Linked DNA regions of Anolis sagrei. The protein of the gene in region 4 interacts with the protein of the main gene of each other region in a pairwise test. Links are inferred from orthologs where the notes say so. Each region holds a gene or a part of one and is shown on either strand. Other genes may lie near its edges.

Region 1 (7,718 bases), on a different chromosome or scaffold from region 4:
TTCAATCTGACACCCCTTGAGCCTCCCTCAGTGCTCTGGGACCCTGGGAGCTATAGTTTTACAAGGTCTTGAGCCTTCTCTGTCGAAGAAGGCTGGTCCCGTCCCAAACTATAACCCTCAGATTCAATCTGACACCCCTTGAGCTTCCCTCAGTGCTCTGGAACCCTGGGAGCTGTAGTTTTACAAGGTCTTGATCCTTTTCTGCCCAGGAGAGCTGGTCCCACTCCAAACTATAACCCTGGGATTCAATCTGATATCCCTTGAGCTGCCCTCAGTGTTCTGGCATCCTGGGATCTGTAGTTGTACAAGGTCTTAAGTTTTTTTTCCCCAAGAGGGCTGGTCCTGCCCCAAACTACAACTCCAGGATTCAATCTGACACCCATTGAGCTGCCCTTAGTGCTTTGGAATCTGTAGTTTTGCAAGGTCTTGAGCCTTCTCTGCCCCAAGAGAGCTGGTCCCACCTCAAACTATAGCTCCAGGATTCATTCTCACACCCTTTGAGCTGCTCTCAGTGCTCTGGCATCCGGGAAGTTGTAGTTTTACAAGATCTTGAGCCTTCTCTTCCCTCTCATCTCAAATTATAACCCCCAGGTTCAATCTGACACTCTTTAAGCTGTCCTCCATGCTCTGGGACTCTGAGAGCTGTCATTTTACAAGGTTTTGATCCTTTTCTGCCCAGGAGAGCTGGTCCCACCCCAAACTATAACCCCAGCATTCAATCTGATACCCCTTGAGCTTCCCTCAGTATTCTGGGATCTGTAGTTTTACAAGGTCTTTAGCTTTCTTTGCCAAAGAGAGCTGCTCTCGCCCCAAACTACAACTCCAGGATTCAATCGATTGAGGTGCCCTTAGTGCTTTGGAATCTGTAGTTTTACAAGGTCTTGAGCCTTCTCTGCCCCAAGAGAGCGGGTCCCACCCCAAACTATAGCTCCAGAATTCAATCTGACACTCCTTGAGCTGCCCTCGGTGCTCTGCGACCCTGGGAGCTGTAGTTTTGCAAGTTTTGACCCTTTTCTACCTAATAGAGCTAGTCCCACCCCAAACTATAGCTCCAAGATTCATTCTCACACCCTTTGCGCTGCCCTTAGTGCTCTGGAATCTGTAGTTTTACAAAGTCGTGAGCCTTCTCTGCCCCAAGAGAGCTAGTCCCACCCCAACTATAGCTCCAGGATTCATTCTGACACCCTTTGAGCTCCATATTTGATTCTGCCACCCTTTCAGCTGCCCTCCATATTCTAGCATCCGGGAAGCTGTAGTTTTGCAAGGTCTCGAGCCTTATCTGCCCCAAGAGAGCTGGTCCCACCCCAAACTATAACTCCAGAATTCATTCTGCCACCCTTTGAGCTGTCCTCAGTGCTCTGGCATCCGGGAAGCTGTAGTTTTACAAGGTCTGGAGCCTTCTCTGTCCAAGAGAGCTAGTCCCACCCCAAACTATAGCTCCAGGAATCATTCTGACACCCTTTGAGCTGCGCTCAGTGCTCTGTTATCAGGGAGCTGTAGTTTTACAAGGTTTGGAGCCTTTTCTGCCCCAGGAGAGCTGGTCCCACCCCCAAACTATAACTCCAGGTTTGATTCTGACACCTTTTGAGCTGCCCTCAGTACTCTGGCATCCTGGAAGCTGTAGTTTTACAAGATCTTGAGCCTTCTCTGCACCAAGAGAGCTGGTCCCACTCTAAACTATAGCTCCAGGATCCATTCTGACACCCTTTGAGCTGCCCTCAGTGCTCTGGCATCTGGGAAGCTATAGTTTTACAAGGTCTGGAGCATTCTCTGTCCAAGAGAGCTGGTCCCACCCCAAACTATAACTCCAAGATTAATTCTGACACCCTTTGAACTGCTCTCAGTGCTCTGATATCCGGGAAGCTGTAGTTTTACAAGGTCTGGAGCCTTCTCTGTCCAAGAGAGCTGGTCCCACCCCAAACTATAACTCCAAGATTAATTCTGACACCCTTTGAGCTGCCCTCAGTGTTCTGTCATCCGGGAAGCTGTAGTTTTACAAGATCTTGAGCCTTCTCTGCCCCAAGAGAGCTGGTCCCACCCCAAACTATAGCTCCAGGATTCATTCTGACACCCTTTGACTGCCCTCAGTGCTTGGGCATCCAGGGAGCTGTAGTTTTACAAGGTCTGGACCCTTCTCTGCCCCAAGAAAGCTGGTCCCACCCCAAACTATAACTCCAGGATTAATTCTCACACCCTTTGAGCTGCCCTCAGTGCTCTGGCATCCGGGAAGCTGTAGTTTTACAAGGTCTGGACCCTTCTCTGCCCCAAGAAAGCTGGTCCCACCCCAAACTATAACTCCAGGATTAATTCTCACACCCTTTGAGCTGCCCTCAGTGCTCTGGCATCCGGGAAGCTGTAGTTTTACAAGGTCTGGAGCTTTCTCCGCCCCAAGAGAGCTGGTCCCACCCCAAACTATAGCTCCAGGATCCATTCTGACACTCTTTGAGCTGCCCTCAGTACTCTGGCATCCGGGAAGCTGTAGTTTTACAAGGTCTGGAGCCTTCTCTTCCCAAGAGAGCAGGTCCCACCACAACTATAGCTCCAGGATTCATTCTGACACCCTTTGAGCTGCCCTCAGTACTCTGGCATCCGGGAAGCTATAGTTTTACAAGGTCTGGAGCCTTCTCTTCCCAAGAGAGCTGGTCCCACCTTAAACTATAGCTCCAGGATTCATTCTGCCACCATTTGAGCTGACCTCAGTGCTCTGGCATCTGGGAGCTGTAGTTTTACAAGGACTGGAGCCTTCTCTTCCCAAGAGAAGCCATGGGAGTCTGAAGTGGGGTCATCCTGCATGAATCCTGCACTCTCTACCTCTCTAGGGCCCTTCCCCTTAAGCGCCTCTCTTGCTGGACGTCCTGAAGGGAGGTGGCCACTCACCTCCACCTCCTCTTGCAGGGAGTGGGCCATGGCTGGCCAGGGAGGACCACCGACCCAGGGAGCAGGGCAACCGCTCTGCTGGAGTCTCAGCCTTTGCTTGGAGTCGGGCAGCAGCAAGAGAGGTGGGGCAGGAAACCCTGCCAGACTTGTATCAGTTTCGTTTTCGTTTCCTGGGAGGGATGCCGGAAGGAATGCTCAAGCTTGGCTTCATTGTTTACTATAGGCATGCTTCTGCAACCCAGCACTGCAAGTTTGTGTTTTTCTTTCCCTCCTTCCAATGCCAGTGCTTCCAAAATCAAACAAACCTTCCAGCTACATGACATGGAGGAACAAAGGGCTGGGGAGATGCAAAAAGAATGTGGGAAAAGCAGTTTCTTTCACAGAGGCCCCATTTACACTAACCATTTAAGGCAGACTGAAAGCCAAAACCAAGGTTACAACATCTGTTATAGAACTCCAGTATGCTGATGACAACGTCGTCTATGCACATTCAGAAGAAGACCTACAAGCCACTCTAAACACCTTTGCAGAAGCGTACGAGAAGCTCGGCCTGTCATTGAATATCGGGAAAACCAAAGTGCTGTTCCAGCAGACACCAGCCAACCCCGCTCCATTGCCAGTGATACAGCTTAATGGTGTAACATTAGAAAATGTTGATCATTTCTGCTACCTTGACAGCCACCTCTCCACCAAAGTCAACACCGACACTGACAACACCGCCTGAGCTCTGCGAGCGCAGCATTTTTCCGAATGAAGCAGAGAATATTTGAGGACCGGGACATCCGTAGGGATACCAAGGTGCTTGTTTATAGAGCTATTGACTTCCCAACCCTGCTATATGCCTGTGAGACATGGACTGTCTACAGATGTCACATGCAACTCCTGGAACAATTCCATCAGCACTGCCTCCGGAAAACCCTGCAAATCTCTTGGGAAGACAGGCGGACAAACGTCAGCATGCTGGAAGAAGCAAAGACCACCAGCATTGAAGCGATGGTCCTCCACCATCAATTCCGCTGGACTGGCCACGTCCGGATGCCCGACCACCGTCTCCCAAAGCAGTTGCTCTACTTCGAACTCAAGAACGGAAAATGGAATAATGTATTGTCGAAGGCTTTCATGGCTGGAATCACTAGGTTCTTGTGGGTTTTTTCGGGCTATAGAGCCATGTTCTAGAGGCATTTCTCTTGACGTTTCTATCAGAAACGTCAGAAATGCCTCTAGAACATGGCTCTATAGCCCGAAAAAAACCCACAAGAACCTGGAAATTGGAATGTTGGTGGGCAGGAAAAGAGATTTAAAGACGGGCTCAGAGCCAACCTTAAAAACTCTGGCATAGACACTGAGAACTGGGAAGCCCTGGCCCTTGACCACTCCAGCTGGAGGTCAGCTGTGACCAGCAGTGCTGCAGAATTTGAAGAGGCACGAATGGAGGGTGAAAGGGAGAAGCGTGCCAAGAGGAAGGCGCGTCAAGCCAACCCCGACCGAGACCGCCTTCCACCTGGAAACCAATGCCCTCACTGCAGAAGAAGATGCAGAGCAAGAATAGGGCTCCACAGCCACATACGGACCCACAAGAACACTGGAAGACAATCCTCCTCGGAAAACGAGGGATCGCCTAAGTAAGTAAAGTAAGCCCATGCAAACAAAGATCCGCCTAGTCAAAGCCATGGTATTCCCTGTAGTAACCTACGGATGTGAGAGCTGGACCTTAGGGAAGGCTGAGCGAAGGAAGATAGATGCTTTTGAGCTGTGGTGCTGGAGGAAAGTGCTGAGAGTGCCGTGGACTGCGAGAAGATCCAACCAGTCCATCCTCCAGGAAATAAAGCCCGACTGCTCACTGGAGGGAAGGGTACTAGAGACAAAGTTGAAGTACTTTGGCCCTGTTTACCTCTCCGAACGTATTCTCCCCTACGAACCATCAAGACCATTAAGATCGTCTGGAGGGGCCCTGCTCTCGGTCCCACCGCCTGCACAAGCACGGCTGGTGGGGACGAGGAACAGGGCCTTCTCGATGGTGGCCCCTCGACTTTGGAACTCCCTGCCATTAGAGATCAGAACTGCCCCCTCCCTCATGACGTTCAGGAAACTTACAAAGACCTGGTTGTGGAATGCGGCATTTGACAACTGATTTAATTCTTTGCCCACATGAAAGGAGGATGATGAATGGTATTGTGATGGTGTTGGACGATTTGGCTCTTTTAACTGTGATGATAATGTTTTAATGTGTATGGTGCTGATATTTTAATCGTGTTATGAAGTGGCATTGTGTTGTTATTGTATATTCTTTGTATGTTAACACATGTTGTGAACCGGTCCGAATCCCTCTTTGAAGGTGAGAGGGTCGGTATATAAAACCTCGAAATAATAAATAAATCATGAGGAGACAGCAAAGCCTGGAGAAGACAATTATGCTGGGGAAAGTGGAAGGCAAAAGGAAGAGGGGCCGACCAAGGGCAAGATGGATGGATGGCATCCTTGAAGTGACTGGACTGACCTTGAAGGAGCTGGGGGTGGTGACGGCCGACAGGGAGCTCTGGTGTGGGCTGGTCCATGAGGTCACGAAGAGTCGGAGACGACTGAACGAATGAACAACAACAACAACATTCAAACATGCAATCCACGAACGTAATCCAGGCTTTTCCAATGATCATTGCACATTGTTCCAAGTCTACCTATTGCACAGGTTCTCTAAAGGCTTGGTCACAAAGCCACGTTTTCCCTCTCTTGTGGAAGGTGAGAAGTGAGGTGGCTGATCTAACATCGCTGGGAAGGAAAAGTAGAAGGAAAAGCAATGGAGGAGCTGGTTGTGAGAAGACAATTCCAGAGGGAGCACTGTGGACCTGATTTTCAAAATTGGGCTCCAGTTTTGTTGGTTGTTAACATTTTTAACAACCAACAAAACTAGCAGCCAATAGTGAAAGGACCAAGGCAGAGACATCTCCAGTTCATCCCCTGTTTGGGTATCAGCCAGCACGTCAACGACTTAAATCTAGAAATAGTTTTCTAAGATCTACAGAGACACTCACTGGGACACCTCAGCAAGCGAGAGTCCAAAAGTGGCAGGCTCAAACCCAGAACCTCAACCAATGGCTGATACCAAATGAGAGACTCCCTCCTGGGCACACAGAAGACTGGGCGACTTGGAAGGCGCTGAACAGACTGCGCTCTGGCACCACGAGATGCAGAGCCAACCTCAAGAAATGGGGCTACAAAGTGGAATCCACGACATGCAAGTGTGGAGAAGAGCAAAACACTGACCACCTGCTGCAATGCACCCTGAGCCCTGCCACATGCACAATGGAGGACCTTCTTGCAGCAACACCAGAAGCACTCCAAGTGGCCAGATACTGGTCAAAGCACATTTAATCAACTACCAAACTCACCAATTTTGTATTTTGTCTGTTTGTTTTCTTTGTTCTGTTAGAAATGTAATATAATTGACTGGCTACCCTAACACGACAAATAAATAAATGTAAGAAGGCCACTCCTACTGCCATACACTTCAAGAAAATCTGGGAAGCTGTCCAGAAGCTGAAAGCACGTCAACGACTTAAATCTAGAAATAGTTTTCTAAGATCTACAGAGACACTCGCTGGAACACCTCAGCAAGCGAGAGTCCAAAAGTGGCAGGCTCAAACCCAGAACCTCAACCAATGGCTGATACCAAATAAGAGACTCCCCCCTGGGCACACAGAGGACTGGGCGACCTGGAAGGCATTGAATAGACTGCGCTCTGGCACCACGAGATGCAGAGCCAACCTTCAGAAATGGGGCTACAAAGTGGAGTCCTCGACATGCGAGTGTGGAGAAGAGCAAACCACTGACCACCTGCTGCAGTGCAGCCTGATCCCTGCCACATGCGCCATGGAGGACCTTCTTGCAGCAACACCAGAAGCACTCCAAGTGGCCAGATACTGGTCAAAGGACATTTAACCAACTACCAAATTCACAAGTTTTGTATTGTGTCTGTTTGTTTGCTTTGTTAGAAATGTAATATAATGGACTGGTTGCTCTGACACGACAAATAAATAAATAACATTTTTGAAAGGCTTCAACATTGCGGGTAATGCCGTGGATGTAGCGTACCTGGATTTCAGTAAGGCCTTCGACAAGGTCCCCCATGACCTTCTGGCAAGGAAACTAGTCCAATGTGGGCTAGGCAAAACTACAGTGAGGTAGATCTGTAATTGGTTAAGTGGACGAACACAGAGAGTGCTCACTAATGCTTCCTCTTCATCTTGGAAAGAAGTGACAAGTGGAGTGCCGCAGGGTCTTGTCCTGGGCCCGGTCCTGTTCAACATCTTTATTAATGACTTAGATGAAGGGCTAGAAGGCATGATCATCAAGTTTGCAGACGACACCAAATTGGGAGGGATAGCCAATAGTCCAGAGGACAGGAGCAGAATTCAAAACGATCTTGACAGATTAGAGAGATGGGCCAAAACTAACAAAATGAAGTTCAACAGTGACAAATGCAAGATACTCCACTTTGGCAGAAAAAATAAAATGCAAAGATACAGAATGGGTGACGCCTGGCTCGAGAGCAGTACGTGTGAAAAAGATCTTGGAGTCCTTGTGGACAACAAGTTAAACATGAGCCAACAATGTGATGTGGCGGCAAAAAAAGCCAATGGGATTTTGGCCTGCATCAATAGGAGCATAGTGTCTAGATCTAAGGAAGTAATGCTACCCCTCTATTCTGCTTTGGTTAGACCACACCTGGAATATTGTGTCCAATTCTGGGCACCACAATTCAAGAGAGATATTGACAAGCTGGAATGTGTCCAGAGGAGGGCAACTAAAATGATCAAGGGTCTGGAGAACAAGCCCTATGAGGA
Region 2 (7,686 bases), on a different chromosome or scaffold from region 4:
TTCCTATGTTCAATTTTACCGACATTGAAGTCCATCAGCACTATCAGCTAATGGGGCTCCAACGCCAAGCTAGAGACCAGCCCAGCTAATTCAGGTAGGGAGACTGTTGAGCAGCGGGGTGGGTGGTACACCCACAGAATCCATTCTGTCCCAGCTGCCCACCTTTAAATAGACACATTCAAACTAGGCTAACTGTGGGACAGGGCATCTGGTCAGGGAGATGGAATCCCGATAAACCACTGCAACTCCTCCTCCTCCCCAGACCTAGCCTGCTGCTGCAGCGAGAAACTAGTGGTCAGAGACGGTAGAGATTTACTCCTCTGGCTTCATCCAGCCAAGTCTTGGTAATACATGCCAGGTCAGCTTGTTATTCCAGAATCAAATCCTGGATAATAGATGTTTTGCCATTTACTGACCTGGCGTTTAACAGCAGCAGTTTTAGCCTGGAGGGATTGCCATCATAGATATCCAAGTTACTTACCAGAGGAGACAGTCCAGGCCTGTTAGAAATCTACTGCCCTTCCTATGATGGTAGTCAATTTGTCTCCTCCTCCCACATCTCCTCCTGCCCTGAATTACCTCAGTGGTCTCTTCCTGGTCCCGGTCTACCCCTTCTACTGCATGCCTATGAATATGAAGATCATCATTGATGAAGACTTTAACTTAGGCCCAATCGTTATCTTAGGACATTAAGGTATTCTATATTAGTGAGGCTTATTGCACAATAATCAATTTTTTTAGCTCTGAAATTTAATGAGGTTAATGCAATGGGAGGGAAGCAAATAGGACTTTCAACCCCCCACTGACCTCAGAATGTGTTGTTATGTATGTAATATGTAAAATTTCATCTTTCCTGCTAGGTATGTGAAAAGCCAGCGACACACTGTCCAAGTAGACTACATTGAATACATGGATGAAGTGGCTTCTCAATTTGGAGTGAAGCCCAACGTTTGGTCTCTCCTTCTGACAGATCCCAAGCTTGCCTGGGAAGTGATCTTTGGACCATGCACCCCATATCAATACCGTCTGCAAGGACCGGGGAAATGGAATGATGCCAGGAAAGCAATCTTGACCCAGCATGAGCGGGTCCTGAAGCCCTTGAAAACAAGGCCCACTGATGACTCAAATACAGTCTTGGTGCCCCTTTGGTTAAAGATGGTTGGCCTTCTTGTTCTCTTTGCTGCATTATTTGCTCATTTTTAAATGGTAAAGATCTTCACTGACAAAAAGCAAGTGGAAGTAGTGAGACTCTATCTTCTTTTTAACAAAAAGATAGCATATATATATATATATATATATATATATATATATAACAACACAACTCAAAATCCAGTTAAGACAATGTACATTTTATATTAAATCATAGCTTCTAATAAGTGCAAACCTATCTTTGCCTACGTAAGAAGTTAAAAAATCATTCTTTTCTAACTTTTTGTATTATCTGTAATTAGCTATGATACTATTAGCTGGCATATTATGCTGACACAATAGTGGGATAGAATGGCTGCAGGCACCATGGTAGCATGGAGGTTTGCAGAAAATGTGATCTTTGTTGGGAGGAAGTTGACATGCCTGATCATAAGCTGCTTGGAAGACATTATTGATCTGGCAATGAAAGCAGTTTCTCTTCTGTTTCCCATATCTCCCACCTGGTATGTGCTATTCTCAAAGTTATAATGCTTCCAGCCACTGTACTATCAGTGTTTACAGAAATTGTACTTTTCTCATAAATTCCTATTTTCTATCATGGCTTTGTCAGCTCAGATGGTAATTGCAAAAAACTGGGAAAAATACAGTGGAATTTTCAGTTGTAGAACCAATAAATAAATAAATAATGGAATGTGACATTAACTGAAAAACTAAGCAAAAAAAGTGTTAGAAATGCTACAGCAACCTGGTTTTTCTTTATTTCTTTTATCCAGAAAAGCAAAAATATGTTTGTTCCTCCAACTACTCATTTAAGTTTATGGAATGATGAACTGATGACGCATGGTGCATGGAACGATGTATTGGTGATTTTATACAGTTTTATGTAATTCAACTGTGTGGTTGAGTTTGATTTTCAAATGAATGTGTTTTCCCCATTTCTGTTTATCTTTAATTTAATAAAATTACTGAGTAAAAAAAGAAATTAATGTATAGTCCATACTGAAAGCTAATACATATATTCATAAAATAATAACGTAGCCCTCTTTAAATGTATGTGTAACTTGCTTTATTTATTTCCTACTTCAGTCTTAGGTATCGCTTTCTTATGCAAAGAAGTTAGTCAGTTCTTTGTCCTCCCTTAGGAGTAGAAATCTTCGTGAGTCTCTGTATAATGCCCTTTCAAATGTAGTTAAAGAGAGTAGTCAAACAGGAACAAAAAACCGAGTTACAGAAGTTGAATCTTCCCTGCTTTTTGGAGTATGGAAAGGCGAAGGATCACCACTTCAATGCTTGAGGTCTTTGCTTCTTCCAGAATGCTGATATTTGTTCGCCGTTCTTCCCAAGAGATTTGCAGGATTTTTCGAAGGCTACTCTGATGAAATATTTCCAGAAATTGAGAGTGATGTTTGTAGATGGTCTATGTTTTGCAGGCATACAATACAGTTGGAAGGACAATAGCTTTATAAACAAGCATGTTCACTTTAAAATGATTTAGATTAAAATTACTAACATAATAACATGATTAAAATACATTCAAAGTTTAAAAAAGGTTAAAACACAGCACAAAACCTGGCATAATCTCTGTTCCAAATAGATCAGAGACAACTAGGTTATCAGTCTAACAACTGCACAAGTACATGTGGATATACTTACTTAGGCGATCCCATTAAGCTGTATTTCTGGCATTGGAGAGAGATTGGCTGGTGACTGCTGGAAAAGCACTTTGGTTTTCTCAATGCTTAATGACAGGCTGAGCTTCTCGTATGCTTCTGCAAGGTGTTTAGAGTGGCTTGTAGGTCTTCTGAATGTGTAGAGACGACGTTGTCATCAGCATACTGGAGTTCTATAACATGTTGTTGTAACCTTGGTTTTGGCTTTCAGTCTGCTGAGGTTAAATAGCTTGCCATCTGTCCGATAGATGATTTCCACTCCGGTGGGAAGCTTCCCGTCAACAAGATGAAGTATCATAGCGATGAATATGGAAAATAAATGTTGGGCCAATAACACATCCGTTTGACATCTGATTCCACCTTAGAATCATAGAATCAAAGAGTTGGAAGAGACCTCATGGGCCATCCAGTCCAACCCCCTGCCAAGAAGCAGGAATATTGCATTCAAATCACCCCTGATGGATGGCCATCCAGCCTCTGTTTAAAACCTTCCAAAGAAGGAGGCTCCATCACACTCCGGGGCAGAGAGTTCCACTGCTGAACGGCTCTCACAGTCAGGAAGTTCTTCCTCATGTTCAGATGGAATCTCCTTTCTTTTAGTTTGAAGCCATTTTGTCGTGCAGGGAAGCAGAAAACAAGCTTGCTCCCTCCTCCCTGTGGCTTCCTCTCACATATTTATACATTGCTATCATATCTCCTCTCAGCCTTCTCTTCTTCAGGCTAAACATGCCCAGCTCTTTAAGCCGCTCCTCATAGGGCTTGTTCTCCAGACCCTTGATCATTTTAGTCGCCCTCCTCTGGACACATTCCAGCTTGTAGAAATCTTCGTGAGTCTCCGAAATCTTCGTGAAATCTTCGTCATCTCTCTTCAATTGTGGTGCCCAGAATTGGACACAATATTCCAGGTGTGGTCTAACCAAAGCAGAATAGAGGGGTAGCATTACTTCCCTAGATCTAGACACTATGCTCTTATTGATGCAGGCCAAAATCCCACTGGCTTTTTTTGCCGCCACATCACATTGTTGGCTCATGTTTAACTTGTTGTCCACGGGGACTCCAAGATCTTTTTCACACATACTGCTCTTGAGCCAGGCATTGTCCCCCATTCTATATCTTTGCATTTTGTTTTTCCTGCCAAAGTGCAGTATCTTGCATTTTTCACTGTTGAACTTCATTTTGTTAGTTTTGGCCCATCTCTCTAGTCTGTCAAGATCGTTTTGAGTCACTTAAATGGGTCACTTTGGGAACCATTGCTGTCCAAGACTGTTACAACAGTTTTGGGTATGTGGATATATACCACCGAAGACAAAATTTTACTCAAACGGGTTTTTGGCTCTTTGGAAGAGCATACTTGTACGAAAGATTATGATTTTCAAATGGTTGTGAATGCCATTTGTTTCCCAAAAGGTTATGGAGATTTTGGTTTTTCAAAATATCCTGTGCCAGCAATGTCCCTCTGCAGTTTGCATTGGACAAACACTTCCATCCTAGGCCTCCTCCAACTAGCTATTTGGGCCTCCAACTCCCAGAATTCCTAACCATTGAAGAAGCTGGCGAGGGCTTCTGGGAGTTGGAGACCCACACTGCAGGAGAAGGCCTGCTCTATATGCAGGAAGGGAATGGACACAAATCAGGCGGTAGAACTGGAGAGGGAGGGAGTGAGGGGGAGGCGTCCCGATTCCTATCCTTCTCTCCCTGAGGCCGTGATAAGGCTCACATAAGGTATAACTATTTACTTCATTGACTGCCGACTCCTAGACTGTTACACGTCCGCCATTCCCATTCCCAGAGAAGGCCTCAACACCGGAAGCGGAACATATTTTCCCTTTTCCGCTTCCCGCTCTCGCTCGCTCTGTTTTCGGGGCAGGAGAGGCAAGCCGAGCAGCGTCATGCGCATGCGCAGTTCTTTTTTCTCCACTGCCATCTTGCCCGAAGAGGAGGAGGAGGAGGAGGAGGAGGCCGCCCTGAGGGTGAGTGCAGAGCTCCTCCTCAGACTTCTTCGGGAAGGGCCCGAAGTTGCTCCGGGAGGGGAAGGAAGGGCAAGGCAGGGCTGCCATGGCGGCTTTTGGGACAAGGCTCAACCCCCCCCCCCCCGGCCTGAGGACATTCAAACAAGGCTCTAATTGTGTTGTCGAAGGCTTTTATGGTCGAAAACACTGGGTTGCTGTGAGCTTTTTCGGGTTGTATGGCCATGTTCCTGTAGCATTCTCTCCTGACGTTTCGCCTGCATCTGTGGCAGGCATCCTCAGATGTTCTGTTGATGGTGAGGCAAGTGGAATGTCTATACTTCCTGACTGTGAGAGCCGTTCAGCAGTGGAACTCTCTGCCCCAGAGTGTGGTAAAGGCTCCTTCTTTGGAAGTTTTGAAACAGAGGCTGGATGGCCATCTGTCGGGGGTGCTTTGAATGCATTTTTCCTGCTTCTTGGCAGGGGGTTGGACTGGCTGGCCCATGAGGTCTCTTCCAACTATATGATTCTATCTCTCAGAGATGCGCCCAGCTCTGTTCAACATCTTTATTAATGTATTGTCGAAGGCTTTCATGGCCGGAATCACTGGGTTGTTGTAGGTTTTTTCGGGGTATATGGCCATGGTCTAGAGGCATTCTCTCCTGACGTTTCGCCTGCATCTATGGCAAGCATCCTCAGAGGTAGTGAGGTCTGTTGGAACTAGGAAAAAGGGTTTATATATCTGTGGAATGACCAGGGTGGGACAAAGGACTCTTGTCTGCTGGAGCTAGGTGTGAATGTTTCAACTGACCACCTTGATTAGCATTTGATGGCCTGACAGTGCCTAGAGCAAACTTTGTTGAGAAGTAATTAGATGTCCTTGTTTGTTTCCTCTCTGTTGTTGTGCTGTTGTAATTTTAGAGTTTTAATACTGGTAGCCAGATTTTGTTCATTTTCATGGTTTCCTCCTTTCTGTTGAAATTGTCCACATGCTTATGTATTTCAATGGCTTCTCTGTGTAGCCTGACGTGGTGGTTGTGAGAGTGGTCCAGCATTTCTGTGTTCTCAAATAAAATGCTGTGTCCAGGTTGGTTCATCAGGTGGATTTATGAGGAAACACAACATACAAACTATCTACAGACCCACCAAAAAATCCAACAAATGCTACGTTCAGTAAAGGACAAGAGGGATCCTCTCACTTCTGCAGGAGTCTACCGTGTACCATGTAGCTGTGGACAAGTCTACATAGGGACCACCAAACACAGCATTGCCCAAACACGAATCAAGGAACATGAAAGGCACTGCAGACTACTTCATCCAGAGAAGTCAGCCATAGCAGAGCACCTGATGAAAAACATGAAATGCAAAGCTACAGGATGTGTGACGCTTAGTTCAAGAACAGTCCATGTGAGACAGATCTTGGAGTCTTCGTGGACAACAAGTTGAACATGAACCAACAAAGCCAATGGGATTTTGGGCTACATCAAAAGGAATCTAGTGTCTAGATTGAGGAAAGTCATGATGCCTTTGTATTCTGCTTTGGTTAGACCTCAGTTGGAATACTGTCTCCAATTCTGGGCACCACTATTGTTGTTGCTGTTGCTGTTGTTGTTGTTGTTATTATTATTATATTTATTTCTATCCCGCTTTTCTCCTGCGATGGTACTCAAAGAGGCATAAAGCATGTAAAATCAAGACAATTACAAACAAAAAATACAAACATGAACTCCAACTAATGAGAAATTAACAATTTAAGACATTAAAACATTAAACTCCCATTACCTATGACAGCTAGCATAAAACTAGCATAGCAACATAAATTAAAAACATACCAGTTAAACCCATGTAATGTCCTATTAATTTATGCCATGAAACAAACCAGTTACTGACGGTCTACTATATAGTTGACATATTGCACATCAGAATGCCTGTCAATCTACTGGTCTTCGTTGGGGAGACCAGTAGAAATAACTGGTCTCCCCAACTTGCTTCCGAAATAACAGCAGTGAGGGGGCTGTACTAACCATTTTTGGGAGGGAGTTCCAGAACTGCGGGGCCACCATTGAAAAGGCTCTCTCTTATTCTCACCAGCCGTGCTTGAGATGATGGTGGGACCGAGAATAGGGCCTCTCCTGATTACCTTAGGGCTCATATGGGCTCATAGGAGGAGATGCAGTCCAATAAGTACGCTGGGCCCCAACTGTTTAGGGCTTTATAGATTAAAGCCAGCACCTTGAATTGCGTCCACAAACAAACTGGCAGCCAGTGTAGTTGTTTTAGGAGAGGGGTAGTTCTTTCCCTATACTCTGCTCCTGTGAGCAATCTGGCAGCTGACCTTTGCACCAGTTGAAGTTTCTGAACGCCCCTCTAGCACAGACCTACCTAGAGTGCGATACAGTAATCTAAAATGGATGTGACTAAGGTGTGTATCACCATGGTCAGTTCCACCATGGCCACTTCAAAAGCAATATTGACAAGCTGGAAGGTGTCCAGAGGAGGGCCTCTAAAATGATCAAAGTTCTTGAGATTGTAAGTATCTGTGAGGAGCGGTTTAAAGAGCTGGGCATGTTTAGCCTGAAGAAGAGAATGCTGAGAGGAGACATGATGGCCATGTATAAATATGTGAAAGAATGTCATAATGAAAAGCGAGAGCAGGTTTGTTTTCTGCTGCCCTTGAAACTAGGACTTGGAGCAATGGGTTCAGATTATAGGAAAGGAGATTCCACTTAGACATTAGGAAGAACTTCCTGATTTTACGAGCTGTTCAGCAGTGGAATTCTCTGCTTCAGAGTGTGGCAGAGGCTCCTTCCTTGGACATTTTTAAACAGGCTGTATGGGATACTGATTATGCTTTCCTGGAAGGTGGGGGTTGGACTAGATGACACATATGGTCTCTTCCAGCTCTATGATTCTGTGAATGC
Region 3 (7,500 bases), on a different chromosome or scaffold from region 4:
TCTGTTTGGTCTAGCAATTAACTGCTCCTCAAATTACCATTACAACACAATTACATTAAAACAAACTGACATGTGAAGTGTTAAGGGCTCAGGGATGTCAAAGAGTGCATCTACATGGTACAATTAATGGAGTTTAACACTACTTTAAACTGCCATGGCTCAATGGTATCATGGGATTTGTCATTTTAGAAGAGCTTTACCCTTCTCTGACAAGGAGCACTGGTGCAATATTAAACTATAACTCTTAGGATTTCATAGCATTAAGTTGTGGCTATTAAAGTGGTGTTACACTGCAATAATTTTACAGTGTAGATGCACCCTAAGTCATTCTGCTGATTGATGCCAGACATAAAATTATCATTTTTTCTGTTTCCAACTGAAGGTAAACAGCAAATAAAGCTGATCAAATTATTTTGAGATGTGATGGGGAAATGCTTCATTTGCCTTTGTGATTCAAACAAAATATAGTACAGTAACTATCCATTTGCTGCCCTGAGGCTGCCTTGTAATCTATTACGGTTGGCCTGTCATTATGTTGCAGAAGATTCATCTTAATTTGTTTGGATGACAAGCTCTTTGGAATGTATGGTATTTATTTTCCTAGACATTGTGGCCATCCAAAAAGGGGAATGTGGAAGTGATCAATCGATGTCATGCGCTGCCTCCTTGTGACCAGGCAATCAGTATGAGAGCAAAGTGCTTCTTCATTGCCTGTTGCCTCAGCTGTGCTGTTTAATTCTTGGGACACACAGTATTCTGGTGGAGTCCCTGATTCTTTTTGAACATGAGCAGCTCTGGTTTAATGCTGAGCAGGAATAAAGTGCTACAGCTGGCATATGAGGGAAGTGACAAGGGCTCCTGGCTACACACAAAAGAACATCAAAGGATCTGTCCTATTTATTTCCTGTGTGTTTGTGAGATTATTGCCTTTCTTTGTTTGCTGCCAATTTGACAAAATGGTTTCCATTAGTGCAGGGAGGGTGGGGGGGAGGGATATAGATTTCTCCCTTTCTGTGCATCTTCAAAATCTGGAGCTTGGTAGGATGCTATGGAACAGACTTTGAAGGAAATTTGGAGGAGGAGGGGGATTCCATGGGGAGGACGTTCAATAAGATGCTCCTTGTTATAGGGCCGGATGTCTTCAACACATGTTGAAGGGTTCTGTCCTGCCCCGGTCCTGTTCAACATCTGTATTAATGACTTAGATCAGCGATTTTCAACCTGTGGGTCCCCAGGTGTTTTGGCCTACAACTCCCAGAAATTCCAACCGGTTTACCAGCTGTTAGGGTTTCTGAGAGTTGAAGGCCAAAACATTTGGGGACCCACAGGTTGAGAACCACTGACTTAGATGAAGCCGTTAGAAGGCATGATCATCAAGTTTGCAGACAACACCAAATTGGGAAGGATAGCCAATACCTCAGAAGACAGGAGCAGAATTCAAAACAATGTGAACACATTAGAGAGATGGGCCAAAACTAACAAAATGAAGTTCAACAGTAACAAATGCAAGATACTCCAATTAGGTAGAAACAATGAAATGCAAAGATACAGAATGGGGGACGCCTGGCTTGAAAGCAATATGTGTGAAAAAGATCTTGGAGTCCTCATGGACAACAAGTTAAACATGAGCCAACAATGTCATGCAGCAGCAAAAAAAAAAGCCAATGGGATTTTTGCCTGCATAAATAAGAGTATAATATCTAGATCCAGGGAAGTCATGATACCCCTCTATTCTGCCTTGGTCAGACCACATCTGGAATACTGACACCACAACTGATGAGAGATGTTGACTCTAAGCTGGAATGTGTCCAGAGGAGGGTGACTCAAATGGTCAAGGGTCTGGAGAACAAACCCTATGAGGAGCAGCTTAAAGATCCAGGCATGTTTAGCCTAAAGAAGAGAAGGCTGAGAGAAGACATGATGGCCATGTATAAATATGTGAGGGGAAGTCATAGGGAGGAGGGAACAGGCTTGTTTTCTGCTGCCCTGGAGACTAGGACACGGAGCAATGGCTTCAAACTACAGGAAAGGAGATTCCACCTGAACGTTAGGAAGAACTTCTTGACTGTGAGACCTGTTCAGCAGTGGAAGTCCCTGCCCTGGAGTGTGGTGGGGGCTCCTTTTTAGGAGGCTTTTAAGCAGAGGCTGGATGGCTATCTGTCAGGGGTGCTTTCAATGTGATTTTCTTGCTTCTTCGCAGGGGGTTGGATTGGATGGCCCACATGGTCTCTTCCAACTCTGTGATTCTATGTCAATAATCACCATGCATCAATTTCATTGCTGGAATCTTAGAGGTTTTATGCAACATACATAGTTTATTTACTGTATTTGTATACCGCCTTTCTCAGCCTATCAGCAACTCAAGGTGGTTCATATCAAGAGGGGAGAAGCTTAGGGCCCCATGACTCCCATCATTCCTCTCCATTGGCAATACTAGCAAGGGCTGATAGGAATTTAAACACACTATTTGTAGGGCTGTAATTCTCAAGCCCTGGTCTATATACTGCGATCAAATGGCAGGTCTTATTGCTGAACTGCATTTGGAAGAAAGTACAGTAAAGTACAGTTAATCGGCACCCATGGAGATAGGTAGATGCTGGATAAATGTAGTTTCTGGTTGCTTGAGAGTTAAAATTAAAACTAGCCCTAACTAATATTATGCCCCATACTATTCAAGTGCTGGCTTTAGTCTATAAAGCCATAAACATTTACAGCCCAGTCTACCTGTCTGAACGTATCTCCTCCTATGAACCACTTCAGACACTAAGATCATCTGTGGAGGCCTTGCTCTCAATCCCACCTTCTTTGCAAATGTGGCTGGTGGAGATGAGGGACAGGGCCTTCTCAGTGGTGGAACTCCTTCCCTAGTGACATCAGACCAGCCCCCTCTCTCCTAACCTTCAGAAGAAGAGTAAAAACCTGGCTCTGGGAGCAGGCTTTTGAAAAACAAGGCAGTGCAGCAATTTTCAATATGGAATATATGCAATTGATCACGGATTAGCACTGGATATTCTTAGTGGGTCTGTAGATACTGTTGTAGGTTGTGTTTCCTCATCAGCTTCCCTATGTGATCAGTTGACTCAGGCCCATAGCCAGGATTTTCTTTCGGGGGGGGGGGGGGGCTGAATTTTTTTCAGGGGGAAGGGTCGGGGGGGGGGGGGCTGAGTCTGAGTGAAAGAGGGTCTAGCCTAGCAAACCTTTTGTATCATTACCCCAATACCCCCATGCATATGGGATATATTGAGTATGGTGATGAGATAATGATATGAATAAACATAACAGTTTAAGTAATGCACCAGTAAGGCCTTTTTGCGAACCACCATGAGAATTTCGGGGGGGGGGGGGGGGGGGGGGGCTGAAGTTCCCTGAGCGCCCCCCCCCCCCCCCCGCTACATGCCTGAGTGGTTCCCCGATGCATGGTAAGAAAACTTTTCCTCTGGGTGGATCTTTGTCTTTAGGTAAAGGTAAAGGTTTTCCACTGACATTAAGTCTAGTTGTGTCCGACTCTGGGGGTTGGTGCCGAAGAGCCGTCTTTGTCCATAGGCACCTCCAAGGTCATGTGGCTGGCATGGAGAGTAAAGACAAAGATCCAAGCTACAACTCCAAGGTAAGGTAAAGGTTTTCCCCTGACATTAATTCCAGTGTCTGACTCTGGGGTTTGGTGCCCCCCTCCATTTCTAAGCCGAATTGCGGGCGTTGCCCATAGACACCTCCAAGGTCATGTGGCCAGCATGACTGCATGGAGCGCCGTTACCTTCCCGGCAGAGTGGTGCCTATTGATCTACTCACATTTGCGTGTTTTTTCGAACTGCTAGGTTGGCAGAAGCTGGGGCTAACAGCGTGAGCTCACCCCACTCTCCGGATTCGGATTTTGTCTTTACCTTCCAAGAAGAAGCCAGGAGAGTAAAGACAAAGATCCATGCTACAACTCCAAGGATTTCGAACTGCTAGGTTGGCAGAAGCTGGGGCTAACAGCGTGAGCTCACCCCACTCCCCGGATTCGGATCTTTGTCTTTACCTTCCAAGAACAAACCAGGAGAGTAAAGACAAAGATCCATGCTACAACTCCAAGGATTCTATAGGAATGAGCCGTGGCACTTCAAGCGGTGTCAAACTGCGTTAATTCTACAGTGTAGAGGAGGCAATCGGAGGGGGTGTGTTGAGCGTGTGATGGTGCTGAGCTTTTCTTTCTCCAGAAAAAAAAACAACCGCATTCTTCCTTCCAGGGGGGTGGACCTTGAAGCGCCCACCCTTTCTCTCGATGCAGATTTTTCCTCTTGGCAGATTTGCCGCTCTTCCCCCTCCCTCCCTTCGCAGCGCTCTCCTCCTCCCTCGGTTTAGCGATTTGGTCCGCGTGGGCCACCGTAGCCGCGTCGGACTCTGGCTGGCTGGGAGCTGTCAGGGTGAATCCCGCAGCCAGACGCCGAGAGACGACGGGAGGGGAAGCACGGAGCGGGAGGGAAGAAGGGAGCCCCGAGCCTGCAAGGAAGGAAAGGAGGCGGAGGAAGGGCTGGAATGGACCCGCGTTGCGCCACCGCTTCCTCCCTCCCTCTGCATTTTTGAAATCCCTGACAGACTGCTTCTCCGAGTGGTTTGAAGGCTTCTCTCTCTCTCTCTCCCCGCACCGCCTCCTCTCCCTATCGCTCCCCGAAGCAGCTCTCTACGATTGGATTGGGAAGCCTTTCCAGAGGAGGAAGGCCGGGCTGCAGGGATGGACATCCAGGAGGGGAAAGCCTCTCTCCCGTCGTCCCTCTCCCGCCCTTAAAGCCAGGCTGCCTCTTCGCCCAGGTAACAAAGGTTTGGGATTCATTCCTGCCTGTCTCTTTAAATCAGGCATGGGCCAACTTGGGCCCTCTTTCCAGGTGTTTTGGACTTGAACTCCCACCATTCCTAACAGCCTCAGGCCCTTTCCTTTTCCCCCTCAGCCGCTTAAGCGGCTGAGGGGGAAAAGGAAGGGGCCTGAGGCTGTTAGGAATGGTGGGAGTTCAAGTCCAAAACACCTGGAAGGAGGGCCCAAGTTGGCCCATGCCTGATTTAAATCGAAATCTATAGATAAAAATAAGAAAATGTGCCTTCCTTCTGACGCTCTAAATTATATATATGTGTGTGTGTGTGTGTGTGTGAGTAGGGACAGAAATAAGGCATAGTGTATATGTGTGTGTGTATATATAATGCCTTGTTTCTGTACCCATATATATATATATATATATATATAGATAGATAGATAGATAGCCCTTCTGTCCGTTTAAATACACAAACACATATACAGGGACAGGAACAAGGCATCATATACACATTACATATATATACACACGCACACACACATACACATTATATATATATATATGATTGTGTATCTATATATTACTTACTTACTTAGGCGATCCCTCGTAGTCCGAGGATGATGGTCCTCCAACTTCGGTGTCCTGGCGGTGGGTTCGTAGGTGACTGTGGAGCCCTATTCTCTCTCTCTCTCTCTATATATATACACACACACACATTATGTATATATGTGTATATATATGTATAATATGCCTTTTTTTGTCCCTGTATATGTCTTCATTCTGTTTCTTTAGATGTCAATCTAACATATATGTATGTTCTTTTGTCCCTATATATATATATATATATATATGTATATATATAGTGTATATCCACATATACACTGTGCCTTACTTCTGTGCCTTTAAGTTTCATATATATGTGTGTGTTTATAATGCCTTCATTCTGTTCCTTTAAGATATATATCTATCTATATCTATATATATAGCCTTTTTCTGTCCCATATATATATATAAGGTAAAGGTAAAGGTAGTCCCCTGACATTAAGTCCAGTCATGTCTGACTCTGGGGTGTGGTGTTCATCTCCATTTCTAAGCCGAAGAGCCAGCATTGTCCGTAGACACCTCCAAGGTCATGTGGCCAGCATGACTGCATGGAGCGCCCCCCCCCCCTGCACAGCGGGCTAAACTGCTGAGCTGCTGAACTTGCTGACTGAAAGGTTTGGTGGTTCGAATCTGGAGAGTGGGGTGAACTCACGCTGTTAGCCACAGCTTCTGCCAACCTAGCAGTTCAAAAACATGCAAATGTGAGTAGATCAATAGGTACCGCTCCGGCGGGAAGGTAACGGCGCTCCATGCAGTCATGCCGGCCACATGACCTTGGAGGTGTCTACGGAGAATGCCAGCTCTTCAACTTAGAAATGGAGGTGAGCACCACCCCAGAGTCAGACACAATTAGACTTAATGTCAGGGGGAACCTTTACTTTTTATAAATATACCCACTATGTCTCCCTTCTGTCGCTACACACACACACATATATTCTTTCTGTCCCTTTAAATTAAAACACAGGTGCGCACACTATTTTAAAGGGACAAAAAGAAGGCAAACACATATATATAGTTTTCTGGTAGACTCTTCAGCTTTCTCCTCCTTATGCTTAAGGTTGGTTTATTCTCCCTCTGCGCTGCTGACTTGCAATTCTTGCCTTTGTGGGCAGGAGGAGTCAAAGGCACTGTGAATGTCTTCCAGGGAATTTGGAAAGTATTTGCTGAGCTTTTCTACCTTTACTGAGCTTTGTCACCAAAAGAATAAGAGGGTTTGAGGCCTGAGGCTTCTGCTTCTCTTGGCACCTGGTGATTTTCCCCTCCATCAAGAAGGGATAAGGGTAGGCGGGGTGTGTGTGTGTGTGTGTGCAAAAAAGTGTATATACGCTGAAGGTTGAAATAGAAAACCTGCATGAAAATGCTGCTGTCTTCATCTGGCTGCCAGACTTTGATTGTAGGGCTGGCTTCTGTTTTCTGTTATTGCCAGTTTAAAGACTGCAGCAAGGTGTGCATGCATTGTTACTTCAGACCACAATGCAGAATTATAACAGTTTGACATGACTTTTAACTGCCATGGCTCGCGCAGTAGAATTCTGGGATTTGTAGTTTGCTGTACTACAGCTAATAGGGTAGACTCTCCCTTGACTGGTGTCCATGTGGATTGGTAAATGTTGAATGCATGTAGTTTCTGGTTGCTTGAGAGTTACTATTAAAAATAAGCTTGATTCTCTAATCAAACCATACCATACTTCCTATTGATTGGATATTGAAATACAGTAACAAAAAGCAAATGAAAACATATGACAGTAACCTTAATGTAACACAGTTTTATTGTATTATTAAAATAATTTTGTGAATGAAGTATTATTTCTTTGATTTTTTGCCAGTTGCTTGAAAGTTCCAATTGTTTGAGTTATGGTTAATTGAGAGTTTACTATAATAATACATTTTCATAGAATCACGGAGTTGCAAGAGACCGCAAGGACCATCTTCTAGTCCAGAGTTTCCCAACCTGGGGGTCGAGATCCGGGGCAGGGGCGCTAGGGGGGTGTCAGAGGGGTCGCCAAAGACCATCAGAAAACACAGTGTTTTCTGTTGGCCATGGGGGATCTATGTGGGAAGTTTGGACCAATTCTATTGTTAGTTGGGTTCTGGATGCACTTTGATTGTAGGT
Region 4 (7,448 bases):
AGGCATGGGCAAACTTCAGTCCTCTATCTATCTATCTATCCATCCATCCATCCATCCATCCATTTATCTATACAACTAGATATAGGAAAGGGGAAGAGATACAGCTGGTAGATAGATAGATAGATAGATAGATAGATAGATAGATAGATAGATAGATAGATAGATAGATAGATAGATAGATAGATAGAACAGGCATGGGCAAACGTCAGTCCTCCATCTATCTGTCTATCCATCCATCCATTATCTATACAACTAGATATAGGAAAGGGGGGAGATATATAGTTGGTACATAGATAGATAGATACAGCATGGTTAAACTTTGCTTCTCTGTCGATTTCCATGTATCTATCTATCATCTATCTATCTATCTATCTATCTATCTATCTATCTATAAACACAGACATAGGGATATATACAGTTGGCAGATACTAGATATATAGATAGATCAGGCATGGACAAACCGGTCCTCTATATTTATCTATCTATACAAATATATATATATATAGAGAGAGAGAGAGAGAGAGTTGGTAGATAGATCTATAGATAGATCTATAGATAGATCAGGCATGGGCAAACTTCAGTCCTCTATCTATCTATCTATTCCCTATATATATATATATAGAGAGAGAGAGAGAGAGAGAGAGAGAGAGATACAATTGCTAGATAGATCAGGCATGGGAAAACTTTTTTCCTCCAGATGTTTTGGACTTCAACTCTCACAATTCCTAACAGGCAGTAGGTTGTTAGGAATTGTGGGAGTTGAAATCCAAAACAGTTGAATACAAAAATATATTATTTTATGTTTATTTCGAATATTTGTACCTCACCCTTCTCTACCCTGGAAGGGGGACTCGGGGCAGCTGAGATAGAAGAAAGAGATGGGTGGATAGATTAGATAGATAAATAAATAAATAGAAAGTCAGTTAAAATGTTCATAATAAAACGTAAAAACAATTCACATCACAATTTAATATATTATGTTGGCATAGGGGTAAGAGATACCTTTGGATAATGGTTTTAGGGATCAGGTGGGGGGGGGGGGTGCCAACAAGCTCTGGCATGCCATTGTAGAGGCTGTCCTGGATTCAAAAAGAAAAGGCAGACTTGTCTGAGACCACAGATCATTCCTAAGCTTATAAAACCAAAGAATCTATATGGGAGGATATAGATTGGTGTTCTCTCAATTTGTTTCAAGGAAACCTCTGCATATGTAGCATCCTTTCATGTTCTAAGTATGAAAACCATAAAATCAATATGTGTCAAGATGGTAATCAAGTAGCTTGACAGGTGTGGGGAGCCCTGCCGTAAAATGAATTGTCCACACTTGTAATTGCACTGCAGCGGAAGTGCTAGTCCACAGCTGTTTGCCATATTGAAATGTATTCACTTGACTGAAACAGACCTCTGGCCAAGGGGCTTATTTTGGGCCAGAGAGAGAGAGAGAGCAAGTTTAAACTCTCCAGGAAACTTCATTTCTAGACTCTTTGGATCTGAATCCAGTGCACACGGGTTTCTGTCTATCCCTATTAGCACATTTCTTCAGAGACACCCCAGTGTGAAAGGCATCTTGATCTGAGGGATCTCTTTCATTGTTTCCACAGGCTACTTTTACACATCATAGAACTGGTCCAAGTTATCCATCTTCTAAATAAAAAATCAACAGTCGCTCCAGGACAAGACTGAGACATCTCTTTTCAGCACTAGTTAAACTATAAACTATTTTGCTGACAGACATGAGGAGGCTGGTAAAGATTGTATAAATGAAGTTGTGGTTTTTAAAGGCGATTGTTTTGAAATATATGGAGCATGACTCTTGGAGTGAGACTGAGAGCTCCTATTTGACAAGAAAATAATTCCAGGATAGTCTTAGATTTGTGACTAGCTTTATAACAATCACTGTTTTTGTTTAAAAGTTGGAAAAGAGCACAAAATTACTTCATCGAAATCAATTCTCTGTATATGTGGTACAGTAAATAGCTGTACACCCAATCCACCAAAATGCTGGGGAGTAAGAATTCTAATATTTAGCAAGGGGAAAAATATAACATTTTTATGGCACATCACATATGTTACCTCAATAATCCTTATAACCTAGTAAACTCAGCTGATGTTATTATTCCCATATTGTGAACAGGAGGAATGCTTAGGCCAGGGATAGTGGCTTCCCTAAGGTCATTTTATGTCTTCAAGGCTGAAGGAAGTTTAGAATCATGATGAACTTCCCATATTATAACTCTTTTCTCACAGTTCATACTCCTGCAATTCAATATCATGCAGGCTTACTGAGAAGTAAATCCCATTGAATGTAGTGAGAATTCCTCCCTAGTAAATATGTTTAGAATTGTATCCTTAACCAATATCCTGCACCAGGGAAACTAGCACTTAAAAAAAAACCTCTTGAGGCAATGAAGCAGAGAAGATTTCATTTACCTTTTTTACTTGCCAGGAAAAGATATCCTGAGAGTTGCAATATAAAATATTTATGCAGAATTCTCCCCATGGATTTTGGAGAGAAATGTGAGGATGCGAAGCTTATTTTCCCTGAGCTGCTGGGTCCAGTGAATCCAGTATTTAATATGGCCCTGATATCCCAGGCTTGCTCCCAGCTTGAGACAAGGAAAGTTCATAAGGCCATATCACACATTAGAAAACAGCTTATGCTGACGATTCATGGAAATGAAAACTAATATTCAAAAATATACCTGAGATAAAATAGCCTTTAGGGGCAACCATAAAAATCAGTGGGTTTAAATTAAGTCTTTTCCAGCTGCAGCTTTGTTTTGAACCTTCTTGTGATTCTGAAGTGTGTGTATGTTTGTCTTGGGGTATTGCAGTTTTAGCTGAAAGGTCTTGAGGGTCCTTGGAGAAACATCTACAACCTCATCAAATAGCTGGTTCTGGACCTCCATGTAAAGAGGTTCTTAGTCTCACCATATACATCTTTAAACCATGTGTAAATTGTCTCATTGATGACTATGAATGTAGGTGTATATTTGTGGCGGGAAGCTCAATTGGCCAGGCTTCTCTTTAGTCAGTGTCCATGTTGCATTAAATAGACTTGTGTCCCAGATACTGGCCTACATATGAGGAAGGAGGTCCCAGGACTAAATTGTTTACTGTGACATGTGATGGGCTATTGTTCATCAGTTCATGAGTGAGATCATGGAAAGGAAATTTGATGACTGTGTTGAAATGAAGAGAAGAATAAAGACCAAAAAGTCTGTATTGTTCATAAGAAGTTCCATCATGCTGACTCTTTTCAATGAGACATCTCACAACAGTGTCAGATAGCTGCTAAGGTCTCACAACCAGTCCCTAACCTAACTACCTGTCTCTGGTCTCTATTCTAGTAGAGCTTCTGAACTCAAGATTTTGGGGGTTTCCATTAGTGGGAGAACATGTGCAAAGGGAAGTGTGGAGAAACTGGAACCAGTTTACCACCTTTTTCCTAAGCAGCATGGTTTCAGTGGCAGCTGAACCTGAGGAACAGTTCAAAATTTTAGTCTAAAATGTAGCAGAGGTATCCAAGGTGCTGAATGGTGTTTCCAAAACAGCTTTGGACATTGGATAGTTCTTTCAAATATAGGGTTAGAGCCTGGACTAGATTCACCACTCTTGCTGAAAGGGGACACATTTGATGCCAGTATGAGTATACGGAGCTTTAGTCAAACCATTCTGTCCTCTGGAAGGTGAACAGAAGAATTTATGCAGCAGGAGATACAACCTAGTTCTAGCTGCCACCTCTGCCTGCTTACTTGGTCACTTTTAGTTCTAGGTGACATAACAAAGGCAATGGAGTCTGCTGGGTCCATGCAACCTTGAAGAATGGTGTAAATGGGCAAAGCAGAAAGGATTGAAACACGAGACCAATTAAGCAGGTCTTGATTTCTCAGTTGTGGCACATTGAGCTCCTTGATCTGGTGGCATAAAGTGAAAGATCAGAACCAAGTTCCATCCAGAAAGATTTGCCCAGCTTTTCCCCATTCAACAATTTCAACTCGACACTTCTGTCCAGTGGAAAGGGCAAATTGTTTGGAGAAGGCCCCATCCCATGTTGTTCATGGAGGACAATATCATGGAAGTAGGAGGAGATGCCTTCTTTATCCAGGGTCTGCTGCTTAGGAGAGAATCAATTGGGGAGTGAGGGAAGTCACACAGAACCAAGAATCATCCAGAAAGATTTGCCCAGATTTCCCCTACCCAACAACTTCAACTCAGCACTCCTGTCCAGTGAAAGGGGCAGATGGTTTGGAGAAGGTCCAGTCCCATGTTGTTCATGGAGAACAATATCATGGAAGTAGGAGGAGACGCTGCTTAGGAGAACCAATTGGGGGAGTGAGGGAAGTGACACTCTGAGCCGCATCCTGCACCACCCAAGAGAGGTTTAGTCAATGGAAGTGCCCATTAGCCATTGCTTCCCCGTCCTTCCTTGGGTAGTAGTGATGAGGCCCAGAGGGAAGGAGCAGCAGGAGTGGCTCCAGCTGAGAGTGAGAGGGATCTATTGTGGGGGGAGCCAAGAGAGTTGGGCTGCCAGAAGTTGAGAGGAGGACCCTGGCTAAGAAGGCATGAGGACAGCCCCCCTGGGGTCAGGGCTTGGGTCCTCCGAGTGGCCGGTGGCAGGGCTGTGAGGCTGAAGCGGGGAGGCCGCTGCCTGTGGTCAGTGCGCCGTGCAGCCTAAGCCAGCCCCCGGCTCACGTTACACACTCCTGTATTTATAACCTCGGCGAGCCGCTTCCCCCGCGGAGGAGCAGCCACAACAGCAGCAGCAGCAGCACTCGGGACCACCTCCTTTTTGCCGGCAGAGCCGAGCCCCGCGCCCCTTTCCCCCCACCTCCGAGCCAAGCCAGTGAAGCCACCGCCGGGACCGGTTGCGCGCCGAGGACTTGGATTATTATTCCCGGTTGCGCTCCCTTGGCCCGCCTCGCCTTGCCTGGACGTGCCCTGCCTGGCTTCGGGGGTGGCTGGCAGGAGAGCCGAGGGGCAGGAGGAGGAGGAGGAGGGGGGCGAGGAGGACCCGGGCACCAGCGCCTGGTGGTTCTGGGCCCGCGGCGGGCTTTCGGGGCCGGAGGCGCGCGGGTCCCGCTTGGTGCATGCCATGGACCACACGCTCTTCGGCTGCCTGCGCAGCCCCCACCATGCCCCCGGCCAGGGCTTGCACCCCTTCTCGCAGTCCGCCCTCGCCTTGCACGGCCGCTCGGACCACCACATGTCCTACCCGGAGCTCTCGGCCTCCTCCTCCTCCTGCATCATAGCCGGGTACCCCGGCGAGGAGGGCATGTTCGGCAGCCAGCACCACAGGGGGCATCACCACCACCATCACCATCACCACCATCACCAACAGCAGCAGCAGCCGCAACAGCCGCCGCCTCACCAGGCTTTGCAAACGAATTGGCACATTCCGCAGATGGCTTCGCCGCCGCCGCCCCCTCCACCTCCTCCTCCGCCGCCCGCCTCGTCCAGGCATAGCCTGTGCCTCCAGCCCGACTCGGGGGGACCCCCGGAGCTGGGCAATAGCCCCCCGGGACTGTGCTCGAACTCGCCGAGCTTGGGAAGCAGCACCCCGACGGGCGCGCCGGGAGATTATGGCAGGCAGGCGCTGTCCCCGGTGGAGGCCGAGAAGCGCGTCGGCAAGCGGAAAAGCGACAGCTCAGGTAAGGAAGGGCACACAAGGGGCTTCTCCCTGCGAGACGGGAAGGGGAGGTGGAGAGGGGCAGCCCGGGATGGGCGAATCGCCCAAGACTCCTCCTGGCCACTCCTGGCCTGGTGTCACTTTTGGGGGGCGCAAAAAGCTTTGTATGACGGCTAAGGCATAGGCCATGCGGTTGAACCATGAAATCGCTCGTCCACACTTCCCAACAGGCCAGAGGGGGGAACTCTCGGGGAGTTTGGACTCGTGTGCGCCTCTGACACCTGGGTTTCCCTTCCGGGATTCCCCACTTGGAAAAGAGAAGCGCTTTCCCCACTCCATCAGCCAGTTTATTTCCCTAGTTTCTTTTTTCAGCCAGTGCTTAACTCTCGAGAAGTTGGCATTTCTTCTTTTGGTTTATTTTATACAGGATGTTTTAATGCTATACTTCTTTGACTGGGAGTAAATCCCAATGAGATAAATGGGATTTACGTCTATGTAGACATGGATTCCTATCCATTACAAAGCTTTATTTGGTTTGTTTTGTAGAGGAAGCCATAATCCTATGGCTGGGATAAATCCCAATGAAATAAATGAGGTTCATGTCTATATAGCAGGCATGGCCAAATTTAAGCCCTCCACGTGTTTTGGACTTCAACTCCCACAATTCCTAACAGCCTCAGGCCCTTCCCTTCACTTAAGCGGCTGAGGGGGGAAAGGAAGGGCCCTGAGGCTATTAGGAATGGTGGGAGTTGGAGTCCACAACACCTGGAGGACCCAAGTTTGCCCATGCCTGCTATATAGGCACAGATTTGTCTCCACTACAATGTTGTAACATACACGTCCCTCTCCTCTGTCGTTTTTACAAGTTATGTGTTCTGTATTTAATAGCTTCTGTAATTTCCAGCTTTTACATGCTACATACAATTTTATATACAGGGTCCTGAACATGTTTGGAAAAGGATTTGAATTATTAATCTACTAATTAGTGAAATCTAAGAAAATGTCCCTCTATTATAATCAATTTCAGTTCCTTACTGAAGCATATTTACATAGGATACACACTCACATACTCAGTTAAGGATTTATTGTGCTAGTAATATGCCTGTTTGATTTTGAAAGTAAATCGAGGTGTCACTTTGGCTATATATATATGTGTGTACTAGGGTTGGATTAAATGTGCTACCAGCATTCCAAGCAGTTTTGTATGACAGATGTTGGCCCCATGATAAAACTGCTAAAGGTAAGTTATACAGACAGGCACATGCAAAAGAAAAGGAAGTTGTGGTTAGAAAGAGAAAGTAATAGCATTTCCCTTGTATTATTAGAAATACAAGGGAAGCCATGATCATGTTTCCTTTAAATGCAAGCTGAATAATGAAAAAAATAGTTTTCTTTCTGCATTTTCTATATTTAACAGACTTATTTCTATTTTCAATAATTTCCCTATACCAATTATAACACTTTTTCAGAAGTTGACAGGTTCTCATACTACATACCTAGTGGTTTATAAAGAAATTGGTTTTTCCAAATCATCACTAAATATGTAACATGTATGAAGAAAATTCAAATTTCTAGGGCATATAATTTTAAATTGGCAGATGGGTAAGTGTAATAACTTAAAATTCTATTACCTAAAAATGGAAAGGAAATTTTAATTTCACTTTGTTGTTATACTTCAAGTCTCAAATATGTAAACTTAAATTACAATGAATTACAGTATAATCCACAACACAATGAAGCAATTTTCATTTATTTGATATGTGAATATTGTTGTTCTTAATATTACCGCTTTATACTCATACTCATAATGAAAAAAATC

What was found.
Region 1: the proteins of MEOX2 (region 4) and SHFL interact in binary tests that used the Homo sapiens proteins (3 or more experiments, as listed by UniProt). The two-hybrid records come from large-scale screens. The link is inferred for Anolis sagrei from reciprocal best matches to the Homo sapiens genes MEOX2 and SHFL.
Region 2: the proteins of MEOX2 (region 4) and PRKAB2 interact in binary tests that used the Homo sapiens proteins (3 or more experiments, as listed by UniProt). The link is inferred for Anolis sagrei from reciprocal best matches to the Homo sapiens genes MEOX2 and PRKAB2.
Region 3: the proteins of MEOX2 (region 4) and MAPKBP1 interact in binary tests that used the Homo sapiens proteins (3 or more experiments, as listed by UniProt). The two-hybrid records come from large-scale screens. The link is inferred for Anolis sagrei from reciprocal best matches to the Homo sapiens genes MEOX2 and MAPKBP1.

Annotation. Positions count from the first base shown.
Region 1 is NC_090022.1:172,322,731-172,330,448, forward strand, and holds the start of SHFL (shiftless antiviral inhibitor of ribosomal frameshifting protein), read right to left. Parts: upstream 3,018-7,718; 5' UTR 2,908-3,017; coding exon 2,878-2,907; intron 1-2,877.
Region 2 is NC_090024.1:132,489,011-132,496,696, reverse strand, and holds the start of PRKAB2 (5'-AMP-activated protein kinase subunit beta-2), read left to right. Parts: upstream 1-4,679; 5' UTR 4,680-4,789; intron 4,790-4,957; exon of another isoform or gene 4,958-5,082; intron 5,083-7,686. Other genes in the region: FMO5 (flavin-containing monooxygenase 5), read left to right, coding at 861-1,203. UniProt on the Homo sapiens protein: Non-catalytic subunit of AMP-activated protein kinase (AMPK), an energy sensor protein kinase that plays a key role in regulating cellular energy metabolism.
Region 3 is NC_090021.1:288,090,451-288,097,950, reverse strand, and holds the start of MAPKBP1 (mitogen-activated protein kinase-binding protein 1), read left to right. Parts: upstream 1-4,489; 5' UTR 4,490-4,788; intron 4,789-7,500. UniProt on the Homo sapiens protein: Negative regulator of NOD2 function. It down-regulates NOD2-induced processes such as activation of NF-kappa-B signaling, IL8 secretion and antibacterial response. Involved in JNK signaling pathway.
Region 4 is NC_090026.1:96,461,767-96,469,214, forward strand, and holds the start of MEOX2 (homeobox protein MOX-2), read left to right. Parts: upstream 1-4,431; 5' UTR 4,432-5,095; coding exon 5,096-5,651; intron 5,652-7,448. UniProt on the Homo sapiens protein: Mesodermal transcription factor that plays a key role in somitogenesis and somitogenesis and limb muscle differentiation. Required during limb development for normal appendicular muscle formation and for the normal regulation of myogenic genes.